Linked DNA regions of Canis lupus familiaris. The protein of the gene in region 3 purifies or fractionates together with the protein of the main gene of each other region. This does not show direct contact. Links are inferred from orthologs where the notes say so. Each region holds a gene or a part of one and is shown on either strand. Other genes may lie near its edges.

What was found.
Region 1: the proteins of XIAP (region 3) and XAF1 purify together in Homo sapiens (affinity purification with western blotting; 5 studies listed by BioGRID). This does not show direct contact. The link is inferred for Canis lupus familiaris from reciprocal best matches to the Homo sapiens genes XIAP and XAF1.
Region 2: the proteins of XIAP (region 3) and SIVA1 purify together in Homo sapiens (affinity purification with western blotting; 3 studies listed by BioGRID). This does not show direct contact. The link is inferred for Canis lupus familiaris from reciprocal best matches to the Homo sapiens genes XIAP and SIVA1.
Region 4: the proteins of XIAP (region 3) and MAP3K7 purify together in Homo sapiens (affinity purification with western blotting; 3 studies listed by BioGRID). This does not show direct contact. The link is inferred for Canis lupus familiaris from reciprocal best matches to the Homo sapiens genes XIAP and MAP3K7.

Annotation. Positions count from the first base shown.
Region 1 is NC_049226.1:30,831,481-30,839,035, forward strand, and holds the start of XAF1 (XIAP-associated factor 1), read right to left. Parts: upstream 4,664-7,555; 5' UTR 4,510-4,663; exon of another isoform or gene 4,460-4,509; intron 4,226-4,459; exon of another isoform or gene 4,178-4,225; intron 4,039-4,177; 5' UTR 3,928-4,038; coding exon 3,901-3,927; intron 3,576-3,900; exon of another isoform or gene 3,393-3,575; intron 3,052-3,392; coding exon 2,877-3,051; intron 2,071-2,876; coding exon 1,985-2,070; intron 1-1,984. UniProt on the Homo sapiens protein: Seems to function as a negative regulator of members of the IAP (inhibitor of apoptosis protein) family. Inhibits anti-caspase activity of BIRC4. Induces cleavage and inactivation of BIRC4 independent of caspase activation.
Region 2 is NC_049229.1:72,706,520-72,714,170, reverse strand, and holds SIVA1 (apoptosis regulatory protein Siva), read right to left. Parts: upstream 4,329-7,651; 5' UTR 4,277-4,328; coding exon 4,159-4,276; intron 2,992-4,158; coding exon 2,797-2,991; intron 2,042-2,796; coding exon 1,885-2,041; intron 180-1,884; coding exon 122-179; 3' UTR 6-121; downstream 1-5. UniProt on the Homo sapiens protein: Induces CD27-mediated apoptosis. Inhibits BCL2L1 isoform Bcl-x(L) anti-apoptotic activity. Inhibits activation of NF-kappa-B and promotes T-cell receptor-mediated apoptosis.
Region 3 is NC_049260.1:96,090,468-96,097,992, forward strand, and holds the start of XIAP (E3 ubiquitin-protein ligase XIAP), read left to right. Parts: upstream 1-3,345; 5' UTR 3,346-3,353; coding exon 3,354-4,230; intron 4,231-5,295; coding exon 5,296-5,395; intron 5,396-6,398; coding exon 6,399-6,465; intron 6,466-7,525.
Region 4 is NC_049233.1:49,889,015-49,895,943, forward strand, and holds part of MAP3K7 (mitogen-activated protein kinase kinase kinase 7), read right to left. Parts: intron 3,827-6,929; coding exon 3,765-3,826; intron 2,688-3,764; coding exon 2,572-2,687; intron 502-2,571; coding exon 321-501; 3' UTR 1-320. UniProt on the Homo sapiens protein: Serine/threonine kinase which acts as an essential component of the MAP kinase signal transduction pathway. Plays an important role in the cascades of cellular responses evoked by changes in the environment.

The DNA.
Region 1 (7,555 bases), on a different chromosome or scaffold from region 3:
GAAGGGCGGTTGGCAGGGCGCAAAGGCCAGACGGGGGTGAGTCAGAGGGTGGGACGAGGAGTGAACGGCAGACACTGGGCTCAAACCCTGGCACCAGCAGGGCAGGGAAACGAGATGGCGGCTGGCAGGACAGGAGATCAAGAGAAATAATTTCGGCTTCTCTGTTCCCGAGAAACGTTAAGGTAAAGCAGGAGATCAGGACCCGTGCAACCATGTGGTATAAAGGATTTCAGTCAATTTGCAAACTAAAAAAAAATGGCGACAGGAGGCCGCTGTGGGGCAACGCAAGAGCTGGGTTATTATCATCCCTTTGAAAACTTGGCAAATGCTGGGACCCAGTGGAGTGAAGTTGGGGACCGTCTCACCTCTGCCTGCTGTGGGGCGGAAAGGGGAGAGTTGATGGGGCAAGGGGGGCAGGAGCCAGGGGCGCTGGGTGGGAGCCGGATTTTGGAGCACAGGACCCTTCCCCCAGCCCGCGTGCACACGGATGCTGGTGCTGCGGGCTCACAGGTGTTCTTTCCCCAGGGAAGACCAGACAGATTGGTCCTCGTTATCCCTCAAAGGAGGGGAGAGGCTCAGGAGGTGCTGCAGCCTGTAAGCGGCAGAGCAACCCTGCAATCATGGGATGCCCCATTGGCTAGAGTCCCCCCGCCCCCCCCCCGCCACCCAGTAAGCAAGTGCTGTCTTTGTTGACTGCATGGACATCCTGACCTCAAGGTCAGGACCTCAGCTGGGGTCCTATTTTCACACTCGCCACGCCTCTCCTGGCTCCTACGCAAGACCACAGGCAGGATGGGAGGAGGCATCGGTAGGCCAGACACACAGGGTAATGCATGAGCCTCCAAGCTCACAGCCGAGACCCACTACCTGAGACCTGAGACCCGCGGGGCTGGGGCAGTGCTTCCCAAGGGTGAGAGTCTAGGGATCCCGTGGACCTGCAGGGTCTCAAGTAGCCTTTCTGTGGGTGGGGTGGAGAAGATCCTGCATTTCCGACAAATTCCCAAGTGACCCTGATGGTGCTTGCCCTCCCCCCCCACCTCCCAGTGGACTGTGCCTTTAAACACCAGCACTAGACGGTGGAAGCAGCCCTTATGCCCCTTGGCAGCCGAGCGTGCAGATGAAGTGTGTCAGGCCCGTAGGAAGCCACACAAGGGATCAAGTCCCAGCAGGGGCTGCGAGGTGGGTGAACCCTGGAGGCCTCTGCTCCACAGAAGCCAGTGGCCTAAGACCACATGACCTAGTAGTCCATCTGTAGGGAATGTCGGCAACAGGCAAATCCATGGAGGATTTGGGGATGGGAGGTGTCCCACCAATGTGGGGCTCCTTTCTAGGGTGATGAAGATGCTCTGGAGCGGAGACTGGGGGTGGCTGCACTGACGGTGGATTGTGTGCATATTTTACCACCACAAGGGAAGACCCAGACTGTCCTAGGGTCTTGGTAAGCCTCAGCTCTCTGAGTGGAAGGTTAGGACAGGGTCACACTCTTCACACAAGAGAGGAGGAGCCTTAGCGAGTTTCCCCAGAGGAAAGGTGAACATCCAGTAGAGGCACGAATAGGTGCTCAGGGCCCAGAGGGAGGATCTGTGAGTGTCCTCCCTCCCCCCGGCCTGGTCAGTCCCATAGGGAACCTCGACCAAGCCCCCTTTTTTGGTACCCAGCCCTGATGCAGGCTACCCTGTGCAAAGATGGAGAAAGTTGCTCACTCCTGCCGGAGCTCACATCCAACCGAGACCATTCGCATCAAGAGCAGAACAGAGCAAGGCAGGTCCTACCGGGGGTCAAACCACCAAGTCCAGGCGCTGGGGGCCAAGGAGGTGCGCAAGTGTTGGGTCACCAGAGTGAGCCACCCACCTCCCTCCCTAAGCATGGCAACAAGTATGGGAACCTGTAGTAGCCCTGCTGTGTAGGGTCAGGCCCAAACCCTACCTGCCAACATCACGTGTTTGGAGTAGGGATGAGCAGAAAGTGACAAATTGCTACTCACCATCCGGCCGAAGTCCTTATTTCCTGGGATCGCCTGGTTGCAATAACGACAGTAGATGTCATGTTCAGGAGGTGAAATTCTCGTCCCTGAATAAGCACAGAAACAGTGCCATAAATGACGGCCCTCGGCAGTGGCTAGGCCAGCTCCCCCGTAGCCCCGTCCATGGCCTTTGTCCCTGGCGGTCCTGAGCACCAGCTGTCCCCAGGCCTGCCTAGCTGCGAGTGTCCCGCACTGCCCGTGTCACCGGCCAGATCATCCATGAGATGCCCTGCATGGCCACGGACGGCGGTGGTTCCTGGGGCAGCGTGGGAACCCCGATGACGAGGTGGTTTACTGGAGCAGGACGGGTTTAGGAGGAGGCCACGGCGCCAGTGACCCAGAGGCTCTGGCAGCAAGCTGGTGTCTGTGTGCATGTCTGCGTGTTGGGTGTGTGGAAGCCGTGTCATATTGATGACACCGTGTGCAAGCCCAGCCACGCTGAGATGCAGGAAATGGTGCGAGTCTCAAGGATCCCAGTTTTTCATGTGCTGATTTTGACCTCGGCTGGATTGTCTTGCAGGAGACATGTCTTGTGACCGCCTGCAAGCTCTGCGTACCCGCAGAAGGGTGCAGGTGGATCTCTCCCAGGTTGGGAGCATCCTGTGGGAGTTCAAGCGAAGCCTCCCGTTGTGTGGGGGTCCCTGGACTCTGTCCCCAGCCTCTTGGTCCCCCTAGACCAGTCCCCAGAGGACTACAGTGGATGACACCGGAGGCTGTTCAGGTCCGAGGTCCAGAACTCCAACAGCCAGGCGGATGGGAGATGCGCACAGCTATTGCCTGTCCTGCTGAGACCCCCGTCCCTGTGTCCACCCTTACCCAGGAGCCCCCCTGCCCTCTCCAGCCTGGCCCTCACCTGTGCTGAGCCGGGCCTGTTCTCTCCGACACACCCGGAGCCCAATGGGCTGGCCGCAGTCTGGGCACAGCTCCCTGCAGCTGGCACCGTGGGGCTCATGTAGGCCCAGGGCGCTGAGGTGCCCAGCCAGCTCGTGGAATCCATGCTCCATGGGGCGCTCCAAGTATTCCGTGGCCTACAGGGAGGCAGGGAGGACAGGCAAGGTCACCAGACCCCAGGCACGGCAGCCCTGGGGGGACAGGAGCCGATCTGCCTGGGGCACTGGAGTGCATGAGGAGCAGACAGGAGGGCCCAAGAGGGACTCCCCCTGGGGAGCAGCGGCCGTCTTGGGTGCAGGGGCCACAGGAGGCTCTTCTACCAGCCTCTGGGGAACGGGGGCCCTGTGTCCCTATGGTGAGCTCCTTCTTCCTTGCCCCTCACACCTACCTTGGAGAGAAGACAGTGGTGTCTCTGCACCCCACCCCCTATGCCCCCCTCCTGCCTGCTTGTTTGTTAGGAAACCATGCTGGACCCTGACCCCCTGGAAGATGACTCTGCACAGCTGTGACCCACTGACATCTGACTACACACAGAAGCCAGGGTCCCAGCCATACCCGCAGCCTCCCTCTGTGTCTGCCTAGGCTACCGTCTGGGGGCTCCTGGGAGCAGGGGCCAGGGTGGCTGCCTGTCCCTCTGCAGCACCAGCCCCATGCTCAGGAAGTGAGTGTGGGACCCATCTGCCCAGACCTGAGTGTCAGGGGGGAGGGAGGGGGCTGCAGGGGACCTGAGGGTTGGGGGATGGGGGAGCTGCTGGGGGACCTGCGGGTCAGGCGGGAGGGGCTGCAGGGGGCACCCATGTGAAGAAGCAGGAAAGGAAGCTGGCCTTGGCCTGGCTATTTTTTAGAGCTTTCCTGGCCTGCGTCCCCTCCTCTCAGGACATCCAGCCTTTCCTGAAACAGGGACCACTTGCCCGGTCCGTGAGGACATGGTGGGGGAGGGGCCACCATGTCAGCCGCACTGGACCCCCGCACCTCTGCCTCCGCACCTGCTGGTGGGGCTCATGGTCGTCCATCTTCACCTGTGGGACGGGCTCCCTGCCTCGGGCTGGGGATGGATCAGCAGGCAGTGGGTCTCACAGACTGACGGATGGACGGCCAGGTGGGCAGCGGCCACGCTTTTCTTGCTGCGGATCAAGGGGAGAGAAAAATGGGCCATTGGGTGGTGCGATAGTACAGCTGTAGTCCTCACCCAGGGCCGGGGAGGAGGTCTCAGGCCTCAAGCACAAGCGAGACGGTGAGATCACCCATGTCCCCTCCCGGCAGGGCAAAGCAGGGTCACAACATCCACAGGAGGTCTGCCTGCAAGAAGCGGTGGGTGAGGCTGCAAGGGGCCAGGTGGGGACGGCCCTGGAGGTGTCGCGGGGGGGCTGTCTCCCTCACATCAGAACCCTGCTCTAGGAGCAGCCCACTGGGGACAACTGGCCTCAGGCTTTGGGGCTGCCACAGGTTGTCTCACTGTCCCCGGGGTGGGTAGCGCCTGACCCCTGTCCCCCGTCCTCTGGGCTCCACTGAGTTTAACCCTTCCTGCCCCTTCCTGCCCTGGAGGCCTCCTGTGGCTCCGATCCCCCCCTCCCCCGCCAGGAGCTGCATCTCACCGGTCACCTCTGGGATGAGCCTCTCCTGCTCTGCCTCAGCCCCCCGGCCTCTCCTCCTGTGAGTTTCGGGCTCCCGGTGAGTTTCGTTTCTTGCAGACAAAGAAACAAAACTGAAAGTGCCCGCTGTGAACAGACTGTGCTGGGGCGGGGAGCGATTTCCCCAAACCTCAGCCCAGGGGCTGCAAGTCCCTCGGCTTTGACCCAGGCGGGCCCGCGCCTGAGACCGACCCCTGCTCCCAGGGGCCACACATCCCCTTCCTTCCGGACACCTCTGTCCTCCCTCCTGCTCTGCAGGGAGCTTCTTGCACCTGCACCATCCCCGGGTCCCTGGCACTCGGAGGACTGGGTGGGGAGTCGGGGGTGCAGGTGCTGTGTGCCAAGATGCCAGGTTCAGGCGTAGGTCACTGAGCAGCTTGGTGATGAAGGACGATGGGCAGGCCACCCCGGGGGGTGCTCTCCTCGCCTGTGAATCTGCACAGGGCACCTCGCCGCACCTCGCAGGGACTGTGCGTTTCACGAAGTGAGGGTCTCGGCCACCCTACGTCCCGCATGGCTGCCCGCACCGCGTCTCCGACAGCGTTTGCTCATGTCCTGCTCTGGGTCACATTTGGTAATTGTCACAGTACTTTAAACTTTTCTTTTTAATTTTTAAAAACTATTTTACTTATTTATCCATGAGAGACACACAGAGAGAGGCAGAGGCACAGGCAGAGGGAGAAGCAGGCTCCCTGCGGGGAACCCGATGTGGGACTCGATCCCAGGACCCCGGGATCACGCCCTGAGCCGAAGCCAGACACTCACCTGCTAGGCCCCCGGGCGTCCCTCAAACTTTTCAGGTTTGTTTTTGAAGTGATGGGACCTGTGATCAGTGGTCAGGACTCACTAAAAGCTCAGGAAGGCTGGCATTTTTGAGCAATGTATTTTTAGATTAAGCTGGTACATTGTTTTATAGACGACAGTATGGCGTGAACCTAACTCGTATATTCATGGGGAAGCCAGAGGAATCCCGTGACCCTCTTCGCAGCGATGCTTGCCTTGCTGGGCTGGCCCTGAGAGCAGCCTGTGGCCCTGAGGTACAAATGCTGCAGTCGTGCTCACCGGGTAAGAGGCATCAAGGAAGGTTCTATTTCATCATCCTGGCTTCAGATAAAGAAACTGAGGTACAGCAGGGGCAGCACAACGGGGTAGCAAATACATGTCCTGCCACCCCCAGGCTCTCCCCCGGTCAGACTCTGAACCCAGGAAAAGTGGCCGTGGCTGGTCTTCCCCCACTGATAGTCAGAGGGCACGGAGGGCTGAGTTTGGATCCTGGGAGCACACTCGGCTGCTAGGTGATCACCTCACCTGGTTTGGCTCCTGTCTCCTTGTTGCTCTGGACTCAACTGGGGGCCTAGAGGGGACATAAGGCCAGGTGCCCCCAGAACTTGTGTGCGAGGTTGCCTCCCTGTGAGTGTACAAAAGGCACCTTTTCCCTTTTTTGCTGGAGTCCACATCCTGTTACTAATGACATGACCGAGTGACCCAAAGATTTGAGGAACCAGGTCCCGGTAAAGGCAACTTGTCCCAAATCACTGGTGCGTCAGTGAATCAGGTGAATAAAAAAACACTTGTTTCCACAGGGAGATGCAGGGTGCATTGGTCAGACAAGAAAAATGATGCAGATAATTGCACCTCCATTAGGACACATTTAGATATGATACACTTCGTGTCGATTTATTTAGAGCATTTTACACGTGTTTCTGTTTCCCCGAATTTTGTCCATAAAACAATTGAGTCTGTCGGCAATTAGCGTCACTACTTATATTTACCTTTATGGTTTGTAAATGTAATGAAGACACTACTGTGTAGTTGGAGGACTTTATTTTTAAGATTTTATTTATTCATGAGAGACACACAGGGAGAGAGGCAGAGACACAGGCAGAGGGAGAAGCAAGCTCCCTAAGAGGAGCCTGATGTGGGACTCGATCCCAGGACCCCGGGGTCACCCCCTGAGAGCCAAAGGTAGATGCTCACCTGCTGAGCCCCTCAGGCGTCCCCATCAGAGGATTTTGAATGTGGCCACATGTCCGTCTACACCTTTTAACCCGTTTCACCGTGAGCAGGCCCGCTGTATATGTGACTTTACAACAGCAGCTTTTTGCTAGAACCTGTGGCTTGTCCCGATGTCAGGAGTCGGACAGGGATCTGGGGCAAGGGTGGGTTCTGGGGGCTTAAAGCACGTGGGCTCTGGGTCACCCCCGAGCTTGTCCACATGCTGGGATCCTTGGGGAACCTGCAGGAACCTCTGGTGCTGCCCGCCCATGGCCCCCATCTCCCTCACAACCCTTGGGGGCCTCCCAGAGTCTCCACAGTCCCCCCAGCCACGTGTCCCTCCAGGGATATCACCCTCGCAGGGGCGGGCAGCACCAGAGGTGAGGGGAAATGTCAGCCCCTCTGCCCCTCTGTACCCTGGGTGTCTAGGCCGTGTCTGTACTGGTGGTAACAAAAAAACAGCTTTCACAGTGTCAGGGGCTCCAGCCGGGACCCCCTGAGCAGAGGGGCGGCCAGGATGTAGACGAGGGGGATGCCGTGAGGCCTCCGGACCACCACGGTTGGTGAAGGGGGGGCTGCCCTGGGAGTGACCCGAGCTCTCCCATCTGTATCCTCACTTTCTCCAGGATGTTCCCTCTTTGCAGAAGCCCCTCCGGGACTGACTCCTGTGTGACGATGGGGAAGGGACCCATGTCCATTGTCCCTGTGTTCACTGAACACCGTCTGTCTGCCTGGGTGACTGCAGACTCTGCCCCTTCCATCCGGTGCCTGGAGGCCATGGGGGGGTGGTGCGGGCCAAGGGGGTGTGTGCTCTCTCCGGGGTAATTAGAGCAGAAGTTAGATACCCCCTCCTCCTGCCCTGGGGCCTGAGGGCAAAGCAGCAGGCGCCACGCCCCTTCAATGCTAAACAAAACTGGTGTCTCTATTGCTGAGGTGCACACATGCTTTCACTTAAAAAAAATTCAGGATACAACAGACGAGGCCAAATCTCCTTTCTGACCACTGTACCCGCTCC
Region 2 (7,651 bases), on a different chromosome or scaffold from region 3:
TCTCGTCCAAATATAAAAGGTTTATTCACTTCTGCCCTCGGTACAAAATATAAAACAGACCCCCACCCCCCACAGTTCTACGGCATCGACACCGGTGCAGTCCGTCCGGGAAGGCCAGCCCTCAGGCCTCGAACATGGCGCAGCTGGCACAGAGCACCGACTCGTGAACGTCACCACAGCTGCAATGTCACAGGGAAGAGAGAAAACGGCTTTTAGGGGCTCAGTTGTGTCCGCCGGGATTGGTATGTTGTGGTGCTGACCCCAGTCCCTTGACTGTATCTGGGGACGGAGCCGTGAGCCGCAGGCAGATCTAGCTAAGCCAGGGCCACACCGCAGGCGGGTGGGCCCTAACCCCACACGCGAAGTTACCGCCCACTGCTGTCTGTCACAGCAGCCCTACTGGACTGAGAGCCGACGGCCCACCTGTGGCCCCCCACACGGGAACCTCCCGGCATCCAGTTAGAATTTACTGGACCACAGTAGTTTAGCAAATCACAGAGGAGGGTCCTTAGGAGAGACCACGAAAAGACAAGAAAATTGGAAAGAGGCCTCAGTCTGAGATGCGCCATCAAGAAGGCAGCGCAGCTTGCCACCAGGAGGGGAGGGGAGACGGTAAGCCTGTGGCCCACAGCACCGCAGCACCGGACGTGCCACAGGTGACCAGCTGTGGGCAGGACGCCGATGGCCGCAGGGCTACTTTTTAGTGGAAGCAGAGCCTGGCACAGCTCCCAGCTCCGTGGCCCCGGATACCAGGACCCAAAGGGGCTGCCCCTGAAAGGGAGGGAGCAGCAGGCCCAGGCCGCCTTCTAAACCTGGGATGCCACCTCAGCCCTGGGACCTGGAGCCTGGAGCAGGGAGCCCGTCCCCTGGCCGTAGCTCTAAGAAATGGACACTCCCTCCCCCATCACAGGGTGAACTCCGTAGGTAGCTGGGGAAGAGGAAGCAGGAGATAAAGGCCAGGAGGACACCGTCAGGACAGGAGGAAGGCTGCCACACATGGAGGGGTAGGGGGAGGGCTCCAGGAACTCCTCCCTAAACCTGAACGCTGCCCAACTGGGTCCCTCCCCAGGGAAATGGCCTGGAGGCGCGGGGGCCCAGCCCTCTTCAGTCTGCACAGAGACAGGAAGGTAAAAATAAGCTCGCAGAAGCAAAGGGAAGAGTATTCCACATGCATAACTGGCCAACATACAACCCAAACAGGACAGCAGGGGTTCCCAGGACCCACCCCGCCCCTGGCTTTCCCAGGCTCCGCCGGCTGGCCCACCTGAGGTGGGCTTCTGCCTTCCACGCTTGGCTTTAGGCTGCTGTGACTAAACTAGTGTGAGGTCCGCACAACCAGCTCCAAGTCTGCGTGGGGGCCTCGTCTTGCACTCCCAGCCGGCACCAAAAGTGGCCACTGGGGTGGGAATGGTACCTGGTGCCTCTCAAGCAGGCGCGGGATCCAGACAGCGGAGGCAGACACGCGCACTCAAGTAACACACTAAGCAGACGGTCCGTTCTGGCTCGAGACAGCCCGCACCCAGCCACACACATACAGGCCTGCGCCTGCTCCCCACCCCCACCCCCACCCCTGCTTCCTGCACTGGCGAGCAGACCAACAGGAAAAACCATGTGACGCAGTCCTTACGTCGGAGCCTGAAAGATCAGATCACGAAGTTACTGAGACAGAAGACTATGAGCAAAGCAGAAGTGGCAGCCTATGTGATCTGCAGTTCTGTGACAAAAGCTCAGTCTTCAGAAAAACTTAAAAAACCAGGCAAAGCAGTTATTGGCACCACCGCGTCCCCAGGGGCAGTGCCAGACGGCCGCTCTCCCAACCTCCAGGCCTCAACGTCACGGGGGTGCTCAAGTGCCTGTGCGGGCACCCCACGGTCAACCACTTACTCCACAAGGGCACACAGGGCGCAGGCCACGCCCCCGCAGCTGGAGCAGACGTGCACACACCGCCCGCAGAGGGCACGCTCACACTGGCCACACGCTGCCTTCCCGTCCACGGCTCGCACGCACGAGGAGCAGGCTCTGGTCGCTGCCCCGGAGGGGTCTGTAAGAACGAAACGCCATCCGTCAGCCCTGCAGGGATCTGAAGTGCTGGAGGCTGTGGGGCCACCGACAACCCCTGACCGGACTCCCTGCAAGCGGGTCCTCCTGACACCCCACGAGAAAGCACGGCCCACAGACCCTTGTTCACTAGGGAGACCCCAAGTGCCTGGGAGCATGTTACAGGGCTGGTTCCATGACTCTGGGTTGAGTGCTCCTTCCATTCTCGCTATTCAAATGTCGGTACTGGAAGGATCGGTTCTTCCCCACTGTGGCTTGTATGAGAACTCTTGTGGCCCCCGTCTCGTGTGTCCAGCACCCGTGTCTCAAAGTGTGGCCCTGCATCACTGGTTAACAGAGCTCCTGGGCCCGAGTCCAGGCCTTGGGGAGGGGGGCAGCAGGGACTATGGCTCTTAACCAGCAACAAAGGTGGTCGTCTGAGCTGCACACCACACAGGCGCCGGACCGGCGGAGCCACCCAGCTGAGACTCTGGGTCTTGCTGCAAGTGGATCCTGATCCCCCAGCTAAAAGCTGCTTCACAACCTGCAGGCTTGCATATCAGCCGGGGGTGGATGGGGGTTAGAACCTCCTAAGGTCGGGAGCCTCCTGGTGCTCACCAGCTCCTCAGACCCCAGGGCCAGCTCTTGCCCCTGCAGGGAGGGGAGGAGAAGCTCCCAGGCAGACAGTGTCAGGAGTCAAGTGCTCAGATCCACCCTTAGCGCATGGCTGGGCAAGTGCCTGCTGTTGGCCTCACTCACCAGCTTCAGAGGCCTGGGCTTGGCTCCTGGTCAGTCGGCCATCTGGTCCAATCAGCATCTGCCCACGGGCTGCCCGAAGGGCCTCTGTGGGGCCGGGCTTTGGGGACTCCGGCAGGTCAACAATGGCACAGCCTTCCTCCCACAAGTGGTCCATGTAGGCCTGGGCCCCTCGAAAAAGGAGTTGCTTGGTTTTCTCTGAGGAAGAGAAATCAGTCCCAGTGTTCACAGCCCTGCAACGTGGAAGCCCTGGCACTGCCCCCTCATCCTGCCAGCTGCCGTGGCCAGGCCTCCTTTGTGCTGTCATCCAGCCGCCCCGGCCCAGGATGCTCCCTGGTGAGCTGGGGACCACTGGGTCCGCTCGCCCTTCCTTACCAGGGCTCAGCGGCCACCTCCGCCAGGATGATCCTGCACCACGCAGCCCAACCCAGGCTCCCTCTCATGACCTTCCATGCGGCTTTCCCCACAAGTGGCCTCATGTCACTGCTGTTTCTCTCCTGCCCGGCACCCTGCAAGCCGGCTGGTGTATAGCACAGAGGACGCTCTGGGCTTCAGATCACTCATTCACACCCAGCGGCTCAGAGCTGGGCCGACAGCCCCGGCCAGCGTGCACCCCCTTCACCTACTACAGAGCACGACAGAAACCGGCTCCTGACAAAGCGCTCCTGGAGCTCCGCAGACGCCTGTGGGCCCGGGACACTCCCACCTGAGAGCCGAAGTGGTGGCTCGGCACCAGCAGCAGAGGCTCTCCGCGCGCCACACGTCCGTCATCGGGGGCTTTCGCAAGATCAAACGCCCAACTCCAGCCCCCAGATGCTCTGTGATTCCTGCCTCGTCCCCACGGGGCCAGGCCCAACAGGCCCTGGAAGCCGTTGGCTCCGTGTGACGTGGACGGTGACTCAAATGGGCGGCTGGTGAGCCCTGCCCCACGCAGCTCCTCCTCACCTTGTCCCGGGATCCCGCGGCCCGGAGGTGGCCTGGGGTGACTGCCCGGCTGGAACGCCCAGGACCTCAAGGCAGCGGGAAAGAGCTGCCGGACTGTCCCCCGCTTGCAGGTAAGCTGCCTGCCTGCCTGCCTGCCCTGACCGGGTCGGCCCCAGGCTGCGCTCAGCTTTATCACTCGAGGGCTCAGAAAGCCTCGTCTGCGACCCAGGGCTGCTCGGGAGGGCCGGGGACAGCGGGAGAGGGCGACCCCGGAGCCTCACCTCGGCAGCTCCGGGTACTCGCCGGCGCGGCCCGGCGCCCGCAGCCCCCGCAGCCGGGCCCCCTCCTCCCCCTCCCCGGGGCCTGCAGCGGGGCCGACGCGGGGCCGGGGCGACGCCGCCGGCTCGGGCCCCCGCGGGCGGGAGGGCGCCCCGCACTCACCGAAGACCTCCCGCGAGTGCTGGTCGCCGCACACGCCGCGGCTCAGCTCCCTCTGACCCACGCGGACCTTCAGCTGCAGGGGGGCCGCGTCCGCGAACGGACAGCCCCGCTTGGGCATGGCCGCCGGCCCGGAGCGGCGCAGCTCCGCCGCGCGCCTCGCCGCCACCCGTGACGTCACAGCCGCGCGCCAACGCGGCGCGGCGCGGGATAGGCCGGCGGCGAGGAAGGGGGCGGAGCTCGGCGGCGGCGCGGCGCGGGATAGGCTGGGGGAGAGGACGGGGGCGGGGCCCGGCTGCGCGGGAAACGCCGAAGGCCAGGGCGGGGGGGGGGGGTCCGACGGCGGCGCGGGACGCACGGAAGGCAGCGGCGTGGGGAGAGAGGCTCGGAGGGTGCGCCGCACTGGCAGGCCGGGGGCGGGGCTCGAGCGCGGCGCCGGATAGGCCGAGCGTAGCTTGGAGGCGGGGCCGGCGAGCCGGGGGCGGGCCTTGTGTAAAGCGCGCCGCGGGATAGGCCGCGGTGGAATGGGCGGGGCCAGGGCGGGGGCGGGCCGCGGCGCGGGATTGGCCCAGCGTAGGTTGGAGGCGGGGCCTACGCGCCGAGGGCGGGCCTTGCGTAAAGCGCGCCGCGGGATAGGCCGCGGTGGAGTGGGCGGGGCCGCGGCGGGCCGCGCGGGAGGGGCGGGGCTGCTCGGGGTTTGGCGCGGGGCGGAGCCGACGCGAGGGTTGACACTGGTTCCCCGCCGTCGTCCAAGCCGCCGGCGCCGGAGGAGGATTCGCGCTCTCCGAGATGCGAGGTCGGAGGAGCTCCTCGTCGTCACGGAAGTGGGCGTGCCGGTCGGCCGCGTTTCCGGGGCAGCGACGTCACTTCCGGCCGGCGGAGGGCGGCCCCTGCGGGGTGTGGGCCTCGTGGTGCGGGGCTCGGGACGTTCTCTGCGGGCGCGTGGCCGCGCTTGGAGCCGCTTCGGGGCCTCCGAGGACGCACGCGGGGCCGAGTGGGTGTCGGGGGGCCGGCGCGCCTCATGCCCACCTGCCGGCAGCGCCCGGGCCGGGGTCACGGCCGGGGTCACGACCGAGGTCACGGCGGGGGTCGCGGAGGGGGGGGACTGAGGCTGGCGACTCGGAGGGAGGGAGGGAGGGAGCGTCCGCACCGCGGGGTCAGCGCGGCCCCGGCCCGGGGCTCGAATGCACCGAGCGGGTCAGCGCGGCCCTGTCCAGAGGGCTGCGAAGGACCCTGCGGCCCTACGGGGCGGCCGCCGACTCCGGGGAGCGCGGCATTTGCAGGAACCCGCGGGAAGCCGGAGGGCATGATGCTACGTGGGGTAAGCCAGGAGGACAAATGCTGGACTGTGCCGCTCACCCGCGGCACCTCACGTCGTCGGGCTCCCAGAAACAGCAGAGGGGGTGGCGGTGGGATGGGGCGGGAATCGGGGAGGTGCTGGCCGGAGGCCACCTGTGCAGCTTGGAAGGTACTGAGAGCAGATGTCAGCTGCTGTCCCTGCAGCCGCGGCAACAGGAAGATGGGCTGCCACGTGTTAGCCGAGCTCGGGTGGTAAAGCTCCTACTGTGTGCGCATCGGCTGGTCGCCCCGAACACCCCGCGCCCACACGGTGGTACGTGCGCCAGTAGGGCCTGTGCTAGACGTCAGTTCTGTCTCAACGCTAGGAAGGAAGCTTCTCTCCAGCTACAGTCCCGACAGGAGGTGCAGGGAGGTGCAGGGAATCGGGTGATCCAGGAATCCCCAGGGCGGACACGGTTCAGCCTGTAACATGCCGGGCTCTGCGCTGGGCTCTCGGAGCGGCCTTGAGGACAGCCAGCGGGGTCCCTCCCCCCGGCTGGGACAGATGTCACCGAAAGGGAAGTACAGGGGCCTGTGGAGGGACAAGGTAAGGACACCTGCCCTGCCCAGGCCAGAGGATGCTCCGAGAACACTTGCCGCCCAGGGTCAGGCTGTGTGTGAAGCAGGTGCCGAGCAGCATAACCTCAGAAAGTGGGACGTTGTGGAAATGAACGTTCACCAGGTTGAGGAGGGAACACGCTTCCCCCTCCCGAGAGACACACCGCGGGCACGGCTGGCAGGAGGTGCATTCTCGCCCGTGTCTGGTCAGGGTGGCCTCGGGGCCCTAAGATTTTGAGCAATGACCATCTCAGCCATCCCAGGGCTGGGCAGTCGCTGCGCTTGCATCCCTGTGAGTAACTTAAGTTGCAGCGTAATTTAGTTACGGCGAAGTCGAACGGATGTGCGCCCAGAGCAGTGCCCGGATGAGCGAGGGACGGTGGCGTCCGTGACAACAAGCGCATACACCTGTGTGGCCACAGGAGGCCTTGGCTCCGCTCCCCTCCCTGCAGTGCAGCTGCTGTCCTAGAGCCTCGCAGCACACGGGCAGCTCACTCTGCAGACGCGTTCGTGTTGGGCCCCTCAGCGCGCCGACTTTGAGCCCCTCGGTGAGGTTCCTTCATTGCTGAGTGAGTTGGGTGTGTGCTGCACCACCGCTCGCTCACTTGCTGACCGACCTGGGCTGGCGCCTGGTCTGGGCTCTGGCGAAGGCAGCTCCCCTGGATCCCCTCTAAGGATGTCTCTGGCCGTCCGGCTCCCCTCACCGGTCAGCGCCTCGGAGCGGGGTGGCCGAGTGCAGGTAAGTGAACGTCCAGAGAACTGGCCGCTTTTCAGGGCACTTGGAAGAGCCCAGCAACCTGGATCGATTAGGGATTTGTCTCCCTTGCGCGTTGAGCTGAGACCACTGCGAGCCCCTCCATGCTGGGGCTGTTACGGGTGCAAAAGAGAGAGCACCTTACCATCGCTCAGACCCTCCGACACCTGCTGCAAAGGGGGGCTGCGTGCCCCCGCCCACCCCTCAGGACAGCCTCCCATCCCTGGGAGTAAGGAAGTTGGCGCCACGCAGGAATCATCACCCCCGTAAATTGATCTTTTCAGCCTGCAAAACGCTACAGCCACGTGAGGGCATCGCCCGAGGCTGCCTCTGCAAGATTTTGTCTGGAGGTGGAACAAAATCTTGAAGCGAAGGATTTAGCGGCCACTACAAGGTAGAGAATTGAAAATTTGGCAGCTAATTTAAATATGCAGGTCAACCTTCCAAAGCCAGGCTTGTAGCTTTTTATACAGAATGAAATGGTTTCTCTTTCTTTTGAAAAATGCCTACCCTGGGTGACTGTCAGAGGCGCGCATCCCTCTGCTGTGGCCAGACAGCCCGCTCGCCCGGAGAAGCGTGTCCCCCTGGGGGCACCGAGACCTGAGGGCGGCTCCTGTCTGCCTCGGGAAATGGAAAGGACTGTGTCTGGCTGGTGCTTCTCCCGTGGCCTCCGGGTAGCTGTGCTCTCGGCGACTGGAAGGCCAAGGAAGCGGCTGCGGCCCGTGTTCCTGGCTTGTTTCACGTCGCCCAAGACTGTTCTGGACACTGTTTGGAGCCGTTTGCTAGTGTGCATGAAGGCCCAGGAGGCTCAGAATCGGGCCTGCTCACCAAGGATGCTGTCCCGCG
Region 3 (7,525 bases):
GTGCCTGCCTTTGGCCCGGGGCACGATCCTGGAGACCCGGGATTGAATCCCACATCGGGCTCCCGGTGCATGGAGCCTGCTTCTCCCTCTGCCTATGTCTCTGCCTCTCTCTCTCTGTGTGTGTGTGACTATCATAAATAAAAATTTAAAAAATTAAAAAAAAAAAAAAGAAATGTTTTGTCCTGGGGCGGCCTGGATGGCTCAGTGGTTTAGCGTCGCCTTCAGCCCAGGGCGTGATCCTGGAGTCCTGGGATTGAGTCCCACATCGGGCTCACTGCATGAAGCCTGCTTTCCCTCTGCCTGTGTCTCTCTCTGTCTCTCTCTGTCTGTCTCTCTCTGTGTCTCTCATTCATAAATAAAATCTTTAAAAAAGAAATGTTTTGTCCTGGGCGTCTGGGTGGCTCAGTTGGTTAAGTGTCTGCCTTCAGCTCAGGTTGTGATCCCAGGGTTCTGGGATGGAGTCCCGCATCAGGTTCCCTGCTCAGCAGGGAGTCTGCTTCTCTCTCCACCTTTCCCCCCTCCACTGCTCGTGCTCTTTCTCTCTCAAATTAATTTAATTTAATTTAAAAATCTTTTTTAAAAAAACTGTTTTGTCCTGCCTTCTTGTTCATGCCCAAGTGCCTTCCCATGGTGGGAGGAATCTACAAGGCACCCCAACCTCAACTGCACTGCTGTTGATTGTTGTAACTGTTCATCCTTGTATTGGGTTAAAATCTGCTGGCTATAGTTATATTCATTGACTCAGCTTCACTCAAGCTACACTGAATTTGGATCCCTTTTCTATATAATGGCCGCTACAGCTACAGCTCTCTACCCACAATTTTTTCCCTTTGAGATAAACACTCAGCTCTTCTACCTGTTCCTCATTGGACACCATTTTCGTCATCCCGGATTGCTCTCTATAGATAGGATGCTTTGTTAATGTTCTTTCTGAAGTGTTTTCAGTACTGAAGATAATATTCAATGTGTAACTGAATTGGATCTGGGCCTTGTACATCTGGACATTAATGCAGCCTGGAGTTGCTTTAAGTTTCTTTTTTAGTAGCCATGTAATGTTGGCTCATAATGAATTTTTTTTTTAATTTATGATAGTTACACAGAGAAAGAGAGAGAGGCAGAGACATAGGCAGAGGGAGAAGCAGGCTCCATGCACTGGGAGCCCGACGTGGGATTCGATCCCAGGTCTCCAGGATCGCGCCCTGAGCCAAAGGCAGGCACTAAACTGCTGCGCCACCTGGGGATCCCCCATAATGAATTTTTTAAAAAATTTTTATTTATTTATTTGAGAGAGAGAGAGATCACCGGTGGGTGGAGGAAGGAAGGGGCAGAGGGAGAAGCAAACTCCCAGCAGAGCAGGAAGCACAAAGCAGGGCTCAATCCCAGGACCCTGGGATCATGACCTGAGCTGAAGGCAGATGCTCAACCGACTGAGCCACCCAGGCACTCCATGAATTTTTTTAAGTAAGCTCTGTGCTGAACATGGGGCTTGAACTCACGACCCCAAGATCAAGAGTCTCATGCTTTACCAACTGAGCCAGCCAGACACCCCTCATAATGGAATTTTTAATTAACTAAAATCCCAAGATTTTATTTTTTTTATTTTTTTTTTAAATTTTTATTTATTTATGATAGTCACAGAGAGAGAGAGAGAGGCGCAGAGACACAGGCAGAGGGAGAAGCAGGCTCCATGCACCGGGAGCCCGATGTGGGATTCGATCCCGGGTCTCCAGGATCGCGCCCTGGGCCAAAGGCAGGCGCCAAACCGCTGCGCCACCCAGGGATCCCCCAAGATTTTAATCTAGAGGTTTGGCTTCACATGACTTCTTTCCAAACCAAGTTTCCATTTTCCTTTAGTTGTGCCACAGGTTTCTAAAGTCAGAATGTAATGTTTAATATCCCTATTAAATTTCATCTCAGCCTATGAGACAGCCTTGGTTATTATCATCCAGTTTATGCTCATTGAACAAGGGGTCTTGAAGCTAGTGTCAAAATGTTTTCAGACATCTGGGAAACAATAATGAAAAGTCATGGAGACTATCTTCCAAAAATAGTTCTATGCAGATATATCTCTGCTCTTGCGGTATATATGAATTACTACCATTGTAAATTGACAAGACCAGGAAAGACTGAAGTTTATTGCCACCCTGCAAGACTTGTGTTGAACATTATTACACTGAAATGATGTTCCAAGACATATTGTGCTAACATAATGCCAGGGCTGCTAATTCTTCCCAAGAAATCAATTAATTGACATATGAAGTAGAGGCAGAATTATCATGACCATTCTTTTTCTTTTTTTTTTTTTTGCCAAACATATACTGAGCACACACAGTATTAGGAATAGTGCGAGATTCTAGAGAATCAGGTTTGCCTGGGGCAACCCTGATTTATCCCTGTTGTCCTAGTGTAATTATTAGTAGCATCATTTTTCACTTTCCAAAGTGTCCAGGTTTGGAGGATAAATTATCTGGCCACCCTTCTCATAACCCACCTAGTTCCTTTAGTATTTTATTTCGGTTATATGTTACACAGCTATAATGTGGCAATTTTAATGAGGCTGCAGTAGTACTTCTCTTCCATTTGAACAGATCATTTTTCGACCATGGGAAGTTGATAGCAAAACTTACTGCAATTAAGGTCTATACATACTTACTATCTTTCCTGAGCTACCCTCTAGAGGGCAGTAATATATACATCCGAAATGATCCAATTCCCACAGAAAATGGACTACAGGAGTCCCATTTTCATATGCATGAAAATCAGAAACACTCAAGTGCTCTTAAACACTCGATGCTCATATTGGAACCAGTGTTGTGAGTAAAACTCAAATACCTTTTGCTAAGCAGAAAAGTAAAGAAATAATAAAAATTAATTCATTAACATTCTGAACATTTTTTTTAAATTGAAAAACTGAACTTTGATGGCTTGAATATATAATGATCTATTATAACAATTATGCATAGAGTTTAATAATCTGCATAATTTATGCTTTTGTTTTTCCTAATTAATAATTTTACATGGTTAATAATTTTAATATATTCTGTATCACAGTTTCCATATTTACATAAAGTAATCAATTAAAGAACAGTTTTATTCTACCTGCTTGAATATTACTTTCCTCCAGAAAATGAAAATGCTGGTTTTTACTTTATAAAGCTTGAATCATATAATGCAGAGCTCTAGTATTTGGAATTAGAATGTTTTTTTTAGAGATTGTGTAATTAATTTTATGTCATCAGGTAATTTGTTAGCTCCTAATATCAAAATTATATTGCCTGTGTTTCAGATTTTGAATTTTCTAATGTAATGTTCTCTTTTCAGAAAAGGTGGACAAGTCCTATTTTCAAGAGAAGATGACTTTTAACAGTTTTGAAGGAGCTAAAACTTGTGTACCTGCAGGCATCAATAAGGATGAAGAATTTGTAGAAGAGTTTAATAGATTAAAAACTTTTGCTAATTTTCCAAGTAGCAGTCCTGTTTCAGCATCAACGTTAGCACGAGCTGGTTTTCTGTATACTGGTGAAGGAGATACTGTGCGGTGCTTTAGTTGTCATGCATCAATAGATAGATGGCAATATGGAGACTCAGCAGTTGGAAGACACAGGAAAGTATCCCCAAATTGCAGATTTATCAATGGCTTTTATTTTGAAAACACTGCTGCACAACCTACAAATCCAGGTATCCAAAATGGTCAATATAATGCAGAAAACTATCTGAGAAACAGAGATCATTTTGTTTTAGACAGACCATCTGAGACTCATGCAGATTATCTTTTGAGAACTGGACAGGTCGTAGATATATCAGACACCACATACCCGGAGAACCCTGCCATGTATAGTGAAGAAGCTAGATTAAACTCATTTCAGAACTGGCCAGACTATGTCCACTTGACCCCAAGAGAGTTAGCTAGTGCTGGATTCTACTACACAGGTATTGACGATCAAGTGCAGTGCTTTTGTTGTGGTGGAAAACTGAAAAATTGGGAACCGTGTGATAATGCATGGTCAGAACACAGGCGACACTTTCCTAATTGCTTCTTTGTTCTGGGCCGGAATGTTAATATTCGAAGTGAATCTGATGTTGCGAGTACTGATAGGAACGTCCCAAATTCAACAAGTATTCCAGAAAATCCAGCCATGGCAGATTATGAAGCACGGATCGTTACTTTTCGGATGTGGATGTGTTCAATTAACAAGGAGCAACTTGCAAGAGCTGGATTTTATTCTTTAGGTAAACTTTATTATAAAACCAGGCTAATAAATAACTTTCCAACTATCCCAGTCCCCCTAAAAAGTGGATTCCTTTAGCCCCCTGAACTGGTAAATAAAGGCTGGCATGATTAATCTGTGAACCTTTATGTTGAATTTGCAGTGTAACTACTACATTTATGTGAAAAAGGACTACTATATTGTGAGTTATATTTATCTTTGTTTTTTTGGAGAAGGATTACATGCAAAAGATGATAGATCTCCCAGATAGAAGAATGGGTCTGACAGTAATATAAACTATAATTTATTGAGCACCTACTGTATGTGCTCAGTACATGTATCACATGCATTCTTTCTATACCTCATAAAAAGAGTTAACATTAGAGAGTTTAGTTTGGCTGATATTAAAATTGATACCTGCCTTTTGTACATAGAGTTTATATTTGAAAGCTGCCCTGTATGCCTTTTTGCTTCAAATAAGCACTTCTCTTTTTTTTTTTTTTTTTTTTTTTTAAATAAGCACTTCTCAAATGGACTACTGTAAACTTGTCAGGAAGGGCCCTTAGTGTGATGACTTCCAGGAATATTCAGAAAAGTTATACCATCATATATCTGACTCATTAGCTTTAGGATTGAGTAGTGCCAAAATACAAAATATTAGTTATTTCAATATTTTATTCACATAGTATCCTGTAGCAATTTTGAAGGTTTGTTTAGTGTCATGTAGCTATAACCCTAGAGAAACTTACTTTGTAATTTTGTTAACCTGAGCCTTATTGTTAAAGTTTCACAGTTTGAAAAAGTGTAGTATTGGTAGACCCAAATGATAACAATTTTAATTTTTCACATAAAAATTGGTCAATTTATTTTGTCTTCTGTAAAATACCTCAAATTGAATCAGTGAATTTAGTGTGTATTCCCTCCTCAAACAGTCATGGCTGTTATTTAAATGTGAATTTGAATGTCGTCTTTGAAGCTGAGATTCTCATGTAATTTAAAATGGTTAATTTCATGGTGTTAAAGGGGCATTTTTGCATAGGCTTCTAATTGCACAAATACATGTATTTTTACTTGTGTCTCTTCTTAGGGGATGGTGATAAAGTAAAATGCTTTCACTGTGGAGGAGGACTAACTGATTGGAAGCCCAGTGAAGACCCTTGGGAACAACATGCTAAGTGGTTTCCAGGGTAAGGTATTTAAATGTTTATTTAGGAACAGGCAAGTTAGACACTTTGCAGTCAGGAAAATCTTGAATAACTTTTCACCTAACTATTTTTGCCTTCACTATGGCTTGCAATTCACACCAAGTTTATAAAAATGGGGTCACCTACTTTATAGAAAAAAAAAGGCCCTAAGCCTTCTCTGGTGACCAAAGCATTCATTGCTTATATGTTATATATATGACATTCAAATTATTCTATTTCTAAACACTAATTAGGAATATATAGTTTTGTTGTTAGAAGTAGGCTCTTTCACAATGACCACGGGAGAGCCCTTGTTGCCAAGGATTTTTTCCTTGGAACCCATCACATCCCCTAGCAAATTTTACTGTATCTCTCTGATTATAAGACACACAATTGTTCACATTTTCAAATTTTTGAAATGATACATCTGGTGGTGGGTCATAATTTAATTGGCAGCGGTGGTACATAAAATAATCATCCTTCTTATAATCAGTGGCATCTTAGAATGATAATAACATACTCTGTCTCTTTGTCATCTTGTTTCTTTAAAAATATTCATACATATAAGTGATGTAAAATTTTTGACCTACAAACTAGTACAATTTAAAACTTCAGAGCGATTGTTTGAAAATAAATCTTAAGCTTAAAAAGCCTTAAAAGGAAAGGTTGAAAGCCTAAGGAGTTCCTTCAGAGTGTGTAGTTGGTTAATCCTCTAAACAAAATTAAACTATTTAAAAAATTAAATCTTAAATTTAATAACTTGGTTTAAGGTTGGAAGTTCTCAAGTTGTTATTTTTTGCCTAAGATTACCAAAGAGTAGTATAACAAAGGAACGTATTTCTTTAACTTTGAAATGACAGTTGGTAGAGATTAAATAACATTTCATTTTGCAGCTTCTTAGAAATACCAAAAAGGAAGTTAATGGAATTAAGATAATGGAGATATCTGTATTTATACTTTACTGATTTATCAGCTACCAAAGTTTAACCTTCTTTTAATTGTTTAGGTGTAAATATCTGTTAGAAGAGAAGGGACAAGAATATATAAACAATATTCATTTAACCCATTCAGTGGTAAGTCACATATTGTAGAATATAAAATATTATTTAATTTGTTTTGCAATGATTTCTTGGTGTAAAATTCACAGTATAGTATCTTAAATTAATAATGTATGGTGGGCTTTAAAGGGGAGATCTTGAAGAATGCTTGTTATTTCTTTTTTTTTTAATTTTTTTATTTATTTATGATAGTCACACAGAGAGAGGGAGAGAGAGGCAGAGACACAGGCAGAGGGAGAAGCAGGCTCCACGCAGGGAGCCCGACGTGGGATTCGATCCTGAGTCTCCAGGATCGTGCCCTGGGCCAAAGGCAGGCGCCAAACCGCTGCGCCACCCAGGGATCCCGAATGCTTGTTATTTCTTAACCTGAAGTAGCTTTGTGAAAGAGGAATCCCCATAAGCTGATTGATTTAACTCACTGTAAATAAAAATGGGTTTGAAGAACTAAAATACTTAATCCCTCAACTTTCTGAAATTAGACTTTTGTATAATGTGTTTTATACTCATAAATAATTGTGAACTTTCCAAAGGCAATATTTTAAATCTCAGAAGCGTGTCTAAATTGATGGCAGCCTGGGATGGCTAAGGTATTGGTACCATGTGGGAAGAGCCATGGACTAGAATGGGAAGCCAGAGTTGTCATTTATGGCTCTACCATGAGCTCCCTTGCCTCAATCGAGTTGTTTAAACTCCCTGAGACTCAGTGCCCTGTCTATAGAGTGAGTGGATTGTGTTAGATGATCTTTTAACTTCCTTCTAGTGGGGATCCCTGAGTGGCTCGGTGGTTTAGCACCTGCCTTCAGCCCAGGGCGTGATCCTGGAGTCCTGGGATCGAGTCCCACATCAGGCTCCCTGCATGGAGCCTGCTTCTCTCCCTGTGCCTGTGTCTCTGCCTCTCTCTCTTTCTGTGTGTCTCATGTATAAATTTTAAAAATCTTAAAAAAAAAAAACCTTCCTTCTAGCTTCATCAGGTTATGCCTCTTGCAAACATTCATATGTTGAATTGGAATAAAGCCAATTTATAAATTCATGATTAGTGTAACTTTTCAAATTGAGGTAATCATCTTCTACCAAA
Region 4 (6,929 bases), on a different chromosome or scaffold from region 3:
TTTTGTTAGGCTAGCCTTCACACAATGAGCATGCATGTACAGCCATGGTTCACTGCATCTGTTTTGAAGTTGAGAACTGCTGCTTATTCAAGTCACAGATGCCCCCATGTTATGTAAGGAGACAGTTGAATTGTATGTCCACCATGAAAAGAAGAAAATAAACGATGAAACAAAATGCAGCAAATATAGGCAGTTGGCATTCAGAACACGCCCAAAGCTAACACTCATGAATTGTCATTATAAGGGCTTTTCTTTCCTTAAAAAAAAAAAAAAAAAGAAGTCTGTCTTTGCATATTTTAAAATTTAAAGGTCCCAGAGAATCATGAAGTGCCTTGTCGTTTTTGCTGCTGACTTCTGATGACCTCTAGTTGTTTCTTGCATTGCTGGTAGTAAGTGGAAAGGCTTTTGTTTTCATCTAAAAGCTTTTTATGTTCCTGTACCAGACGAGATGTATTTTGCTGGTCCTTTTCATCCTGGTCCAGTTCTGCAACTAGTTCTTGCCTAAAAACAAATACCACATAATAAAATATTGTACATCTTGTACATGATAAAAAATCCATACTTAGTAACTGATGAGCTTGGCTTGTTAGGGCTTTCTGTATTGACTGTTACACATTTTAGGTACACTACTCAAATATAATTGTAGGCTAGAATGGAAACTATTACCCACTCTTCTGGTGTACCCACACGAACACCACACCACGATCCTTTTGTAAGTAACTGCACTTAGATAATTAATGAACGCAGATAAAATGGCATAACAAAAGTTTCAAAACATTTTACTTGGTATCCCCTTTGTGTAAGAAGAAGAAAAAAGGCTGGGGAAGGGCTCTAGGCACAGGAAAATAACATGTTTTATCATTCACATTCCACTTTTACACTCGTGAACTTTTATTTATGTTTGAAGTTACATCTTATTTAACTACAGTACAAAGTGGGGGCTCATAAAACATTGGCAAGCTAATTAAAATAGATGCTATCAACTTAAATCTATTTCCTACTTTAAAAGTGAGAACAATACAAAGTACCAATTTCGAATGAGTTACTTTTACAAACATTTTCAGGAAGACCATTAGAGACTTTTACAGCCTGATAAACTTTTTAAAGACCCCTTTATTTGGGAGATGTTCAATTTTAACTCCTAAAGTGAAGTTATAAGTGATTAATTAATGATATAAATGAATAATTAATGAAGAGCCTCCAGATGATTTTCTTGTAGTATTTCTCAAAGTATTTAAATAAAATTGATTAAAATTGTCATAGTTTTCGCATTCCCTCAATCTATCATTTCTTTTTCCAGCACAGAACCAACTCCTCGTTCAAATGAATAAAAAAGGAAAAAAGTATAGACTAAATATGTAAAGTAAGAGGTTTTTTTTAAAAAACATAAAGTGTCAACAGTTCTACAATTAGCTCCACAATTTGCAGACTCAAATATTTATTTCCTATAGAGCCTTTAAGGTAGAGTTGCAATCATTTAACAATAAGTTGTGATAGAGCTATTTTTTCTTTTTTTTTTGAAGTACAAACGGAAACTTTCCACAAATTACTTCAGAAAGCAAGAAATTTTCACTTATTTAGATTAAAATCAATAGAGGGAATCCTATTACCATGCCATGATTTTTTCCTATAGCACTTCATTTCAGTTCCCTCTAAAATGAGGATCCATGCAGAAACTTAAGTTTTTGTTTTTTTTTTTTTAAGAATTTCAAATAAAGGAGCATGAAAATTGATTTTCTTAAAAAAGGGAGGAGAGGAAGGCAAACTCAATAACTCTCAGAAAAACATATGCGTGAGTATAAAACACCTTATAAAAACACTCATGGGTATAAAATAAAGTAATCCTACTCTCCTAAATATATACCTGGAAAGACTATATCAATAAAACATTTCTAAGATAAAGTACAGTTGAACATTAGTAAATCAAATTATTTTACCTATGTCTAAGGAAACAATAAATCATTGTAACTATAAATCTAACCAGCTTCTGGTTTCAAAATTCTTAGAACATGAAACACCAGTTTATTTTCCTTAGTTTTAATATAATACATACAGCCAATGGGTTGAGTTTTACATGAAAAACAGCCGAAAGTTCCTTCAAACTTAAAAGATGAACACATATAAAACCTCCAAATTGGAAATACAGTTGACCCTACAATGAGATGAGTCTCAACTAAATGGATCCACTTATACATGGATTTTTGTTCAGTACTGTAAATGTATTTTCTTTTCCTTATGACTTCCTTAATAAAAGTTTTTCTCTAGCTTACTTTAAGAATATAGTATATAATACATAAACATATAAAATAGGTGTTAATTGACTGCTGATGTCATTGGTAAGGATTCTAGTCAACAGTAGGCCATTAGCATTTTTGGGGAATCAAAAGTTACACATGGATTTTTGAATGAGTGGGGGTTCAGCACCCCAACACCCAAGCCGTTCAACAGGCATCTGCATGCTTAATGATTAGTTCTAAAAATTATCAAGCTTTCATGTCTTCCAACAATATTTCATCTTAACATATTTTAAACTCAAAATACTAACGTGTTTATTCACAAAAGATAACTTACTTTCTCTGTAATAACAAAGCAATTTCTGTTTGAACTTTCATATATTCTTGTGCCATTTTACAATGCTGTTCAAACACTGCCATAGATTCTTTGGAGTTTGGGCACGGTGCTAGAGGCTGAAAATAAATCAGGACTGTTAAAACATAATTAAATCAAATCTTAATATCAAGCTGAAAGTTAAGACAGTGACTGTGACATGTTTTTATAGCACTAAAGCAATGGTCTTTTAAAAGTAAGTGTTAGACCATGGCCTAGAAAATTTCAGTGTCCTTTTGTCAGAGTTAACTCAGAACTTAAATTCACACTTGCTGTCTTAACACTTTTGTTGTTACAGAGAATCATGACTATAGAGTATCACTCGCCTCTGGCTTTACATTTCAGGTTGTCAAACCATATTATACGATAAGTTTATGGCTTTCATACTCATGAGGAGACACTGAAGTGTATTACTTATGTTTTCAGTCACTATGAACATGAGACATTGACAGTGTATCATGAAATCTATTAAGTACAAATGAGCTTATGCAAATTTTATATTACAGTACTAAAATTAGAGATCAAAAATGCTATATTCTTGGCATTTTCTTTCTTTCCTTTTTTTTTAGAGAGCAAGAGAGAGAACCTCAAGAGGCTCCATACCCAGCGCAGAGTCTGATGTGGGACTTGATCTTACAACCTTCTGATCATGACCCAAGCCAAAATCAAGAGTTAGATGCTTAACTGACTGAGTCACCCAGGCATCTCCTATTTCTTGCCATTCTTTTTTTTTTTTTAAAGATTTTTTATTTATTCATGAGAGACACAGAGAAAGAGGCAGAGAAGCAGGCTTCATGCAGGGAGCCTGACATGGGACTCGATCCTGGGTCTCCAGGATCATGCCCCGGGCTGAAGGTGGCGCTAAACCACTGAGCTACCAGGGCTGCCCTATTTCTTGCCATTCTTAAACAAAGATATGGAAGTGTTTTAAGACAATTAAATATCTTAAGAACATATGATTTTGCCAACTTCAGATTTGATTAATTTAACTGAATGAATCATTTTAACTTGATTTTAGAAAGTTTAAGTAGGCCAACTAAAAGCATAAGTAAGTGAATATATGATGACAGATATAAACACAACTGTCAGCTTTCTAGATAACTTCTCTAAACTTTCTAAGGAAATAGTAAACAGTCACTGAGAAGGCAATTCTTTACCTGTAGTTGGTGATCCAGTGTAAGATAAGCCATTGGGATAGAGTTATCTGATCCATTGGTATCTGGAATTCAAGTATGTATTTTATTTATTTTATATCATAAATAATTATAAGGACAAAGCAAGAAAGCATGCATGAGATATTGGCATTTTTTTTTCATAAAATAAGTAATACATAAAAGTTATTACTACTGGTAATGAAGAAAGTCTATTCTGAATTCTAAAGGTAAAAGAGAACATCCAATTACCAGATAATCAAAATGCAACCATACTCTGATTCAATTTAAGTTGGCTATAAATTGTGTAACATTAAAGCTTATAAGCCCTTGTTCAATTAAAAACAAAAACATCTACCCCTGAGACTAAATACTACATTATATGTTAACCAACTTTAATTTAAACAAAATCTTAAAGGCAAATAAAAAAAAAACAGTGGTAATGGGACCTTTATACTTTATATTGTCTTCACTGACCCTACCTAATCAAACCTCATAGCTCTCTTTCCTTAATCATGCTGTGTACTATAAGGCTGTGTCAATTCCCTGAATACTAGTGTTCTTTTTTTTTTTTAAGACTTATTTATTTATTTATTCAGAGAGAGAGAGAGAGAGAGAGGGAGAGAGGCAGAGACATAGGCAGAGGGAGAAGCAGGCTCCATGCAGGAAGCCTGACGTGGGACTTGATTCCGGGTCTCCAGGATCACACCCCGGGCTGCAGGCGGTGCTAAACCGCTGAGCCACCGGGGCTGCCCTGAATACTCGTGTTCTTTAATGAAAAAAGGGGGAAAACAAGAGACACATTCTCTTCCAGTAGATTATCTTCTATTTATACAGATTCTAGCATGAACCCCCTCCCACTTCTCCTAATAAGAATCACTGTAGAAAATGGAAGATGTTTTTGATGGGAGTATGAACAGTATGGAAATTATAGCTCAATGTCATGCACAAAACAGCTGAATGGGTTAAATCCAACAACCAGTCGATTTTACCAAAGTATTTTGAACAGACAGCTTTTGTTTGTATTTCAAAAGAGGTAAACTGTCATAACAACTTGCATGAGTCACATGGGATTAACATTTATGCCTCCAGAAGCAGGCAGGATAACTGTGAAGTAATAGGATCTTTTTATTTCAGAAGTAGTTGCTTTCCCACTGTTAGGAGAGAGTAAATGAGTTAAACAAGTGAACTGTTCAGCCCTTTCCCTGAGAAGTAACTCCTTGAAAGAGTGGTGCAGATAAAGACAAGGTCGGGCTGACAGCAATGCACTGCATGCAATGCAATAAAAAAATAGGACAGTCTGATGGTTCAGTAACTTCAATAATTTATTATTGACTGATATTCTAGTTTTCTTTTTCAAAGCCATCGTGAATGTGCTTACAAGTGACTCCAAAAGCTAAGCTAAATCAAATGAAGTAAGATAATGCATGTAAGAAATACCATGCAATGCTAACCTATATGGTAAGCACTCAACATATGGTGGTTATTATTACTGTTATTGCTGTTGTTATTTATACTAAATGGAGAATTAGGAAGGAAGAGTAATTTTATATACTCAAGTTTGTATTTCAGTTTGAAAAAACATTCAGTAATGTTTACTAAATACTGGACAGCAATAAAGAAAGAGTAACAGTGTATTGCCTAGTAGTCTTATCTGACCAAAAATCATATACTAACTGAAATGGCTGAACAAGAAATACACTTAACTTGTTATTTCTCTGACCAACTCTTTCCCCACCCACATCAACAGTTTCAAACTATGTAATCTCCAACAAGATTACAACTGATTAAAGATTATTTGCCCCTGACTTTATAGGAAAAATTAGTCTCTTGAACTCTTTCAACGTTTCTATTCCTATTACTCTTTCTTAAATCTTTCATACTTGATATATCTTATTAAATAAATACTCTGTGTCTGATATGTATTTTAAAATTAAGTATACCAGTGTTTCACAGTACTCAGGGAATGGGGAAAAAAAAATTCAAGGATTGTGCTATTAACTATTAAAACACTCAGCTTTGTGCTGAAAATTTAGTAGTGTCTTAAATTTATTAAATAAAGTATGATGATTTTTTTTAAATTTTTAATGTGCCAGAATTATGACTCTAAGATTGCAAGCAGTGGGCCATGTATTATACTTCCATCTTTGCAAATAAGAAAAATTCCTCAGTGGGTTTTTCCCCCTCTGTGGCTCCCTCTACTGTGTCTAGTCATTTCTCTCACTAACTGCTCTTGGGTATCCATGTCTTTCTCTATATCTAATATATTATAAATAGAAATCCAAGAGCACTCAGTATGTGCTATGATTATTAAATTGATAAGCTTTTTAATTTTTTCCAAAAATGCATAAAAATCCCCCCTTAAAAAAAAAACCTAATTAATTAGGTTATTTAAACCTATGTATGTACTTCTAATTTTTTCCTGAATCAGGGGGACTTCAAAGAAAAAGTCTTCACCAATATGTCTTCCCTGTAATTTACTGATTAGCTTGATTATCAATACTTTTTCTCAGAAATTGTGAAAAGCTGAACTTCATTAAATATAAGCTTAAACCAGTATCAACTTCTAAAATTACATACAAAATTATCTAAAAATGATAACCACAAGCTTGCCGTATTTCAAGGCAAAGCCAAAATCTAGGTCAATTTTGGACCTTCGCATGATTTCTAGTTATTGGTATTTTAGGTCACAGAAAAGAAAAACATGAGATTGGGGTTGAAAGGCTGGAAGAACAGATGAAAGTGAGAGAAGCAAAGAAGAATTTTTATTTTACTTTCATGAATTTAGTCATGTTGACTGGTATGGCCAGATTAGTCTAGGCTGAAGTCAGGAGGCCTTGCCAAGGTGAGCGCTAGGTCTTGTCAAATGTTGTAATGTCAGGGCAACCCTCACCAGGAGGTTGAAGAACCAAAAAGAACTAATATTACCTGAATGTTAATGATCAAATTGGTCGAGACATTTCCCTATCTACCTCTGAGGAGAGGCACATAGTGATGAATTCTGCACATGTGCTGAGGTGAGCAGTGAATGATCTGGACAATCCTAGGTTGGGCTATGCTAGGGGTTAAACACAGAGGAGTTTTTGCCACTACTAAATTTAAGCTTACTAAAACTAGAGAGTACACCCCTGGCTAAACATAGTTGTATCTTACATGAAACAGAAAAGCTAT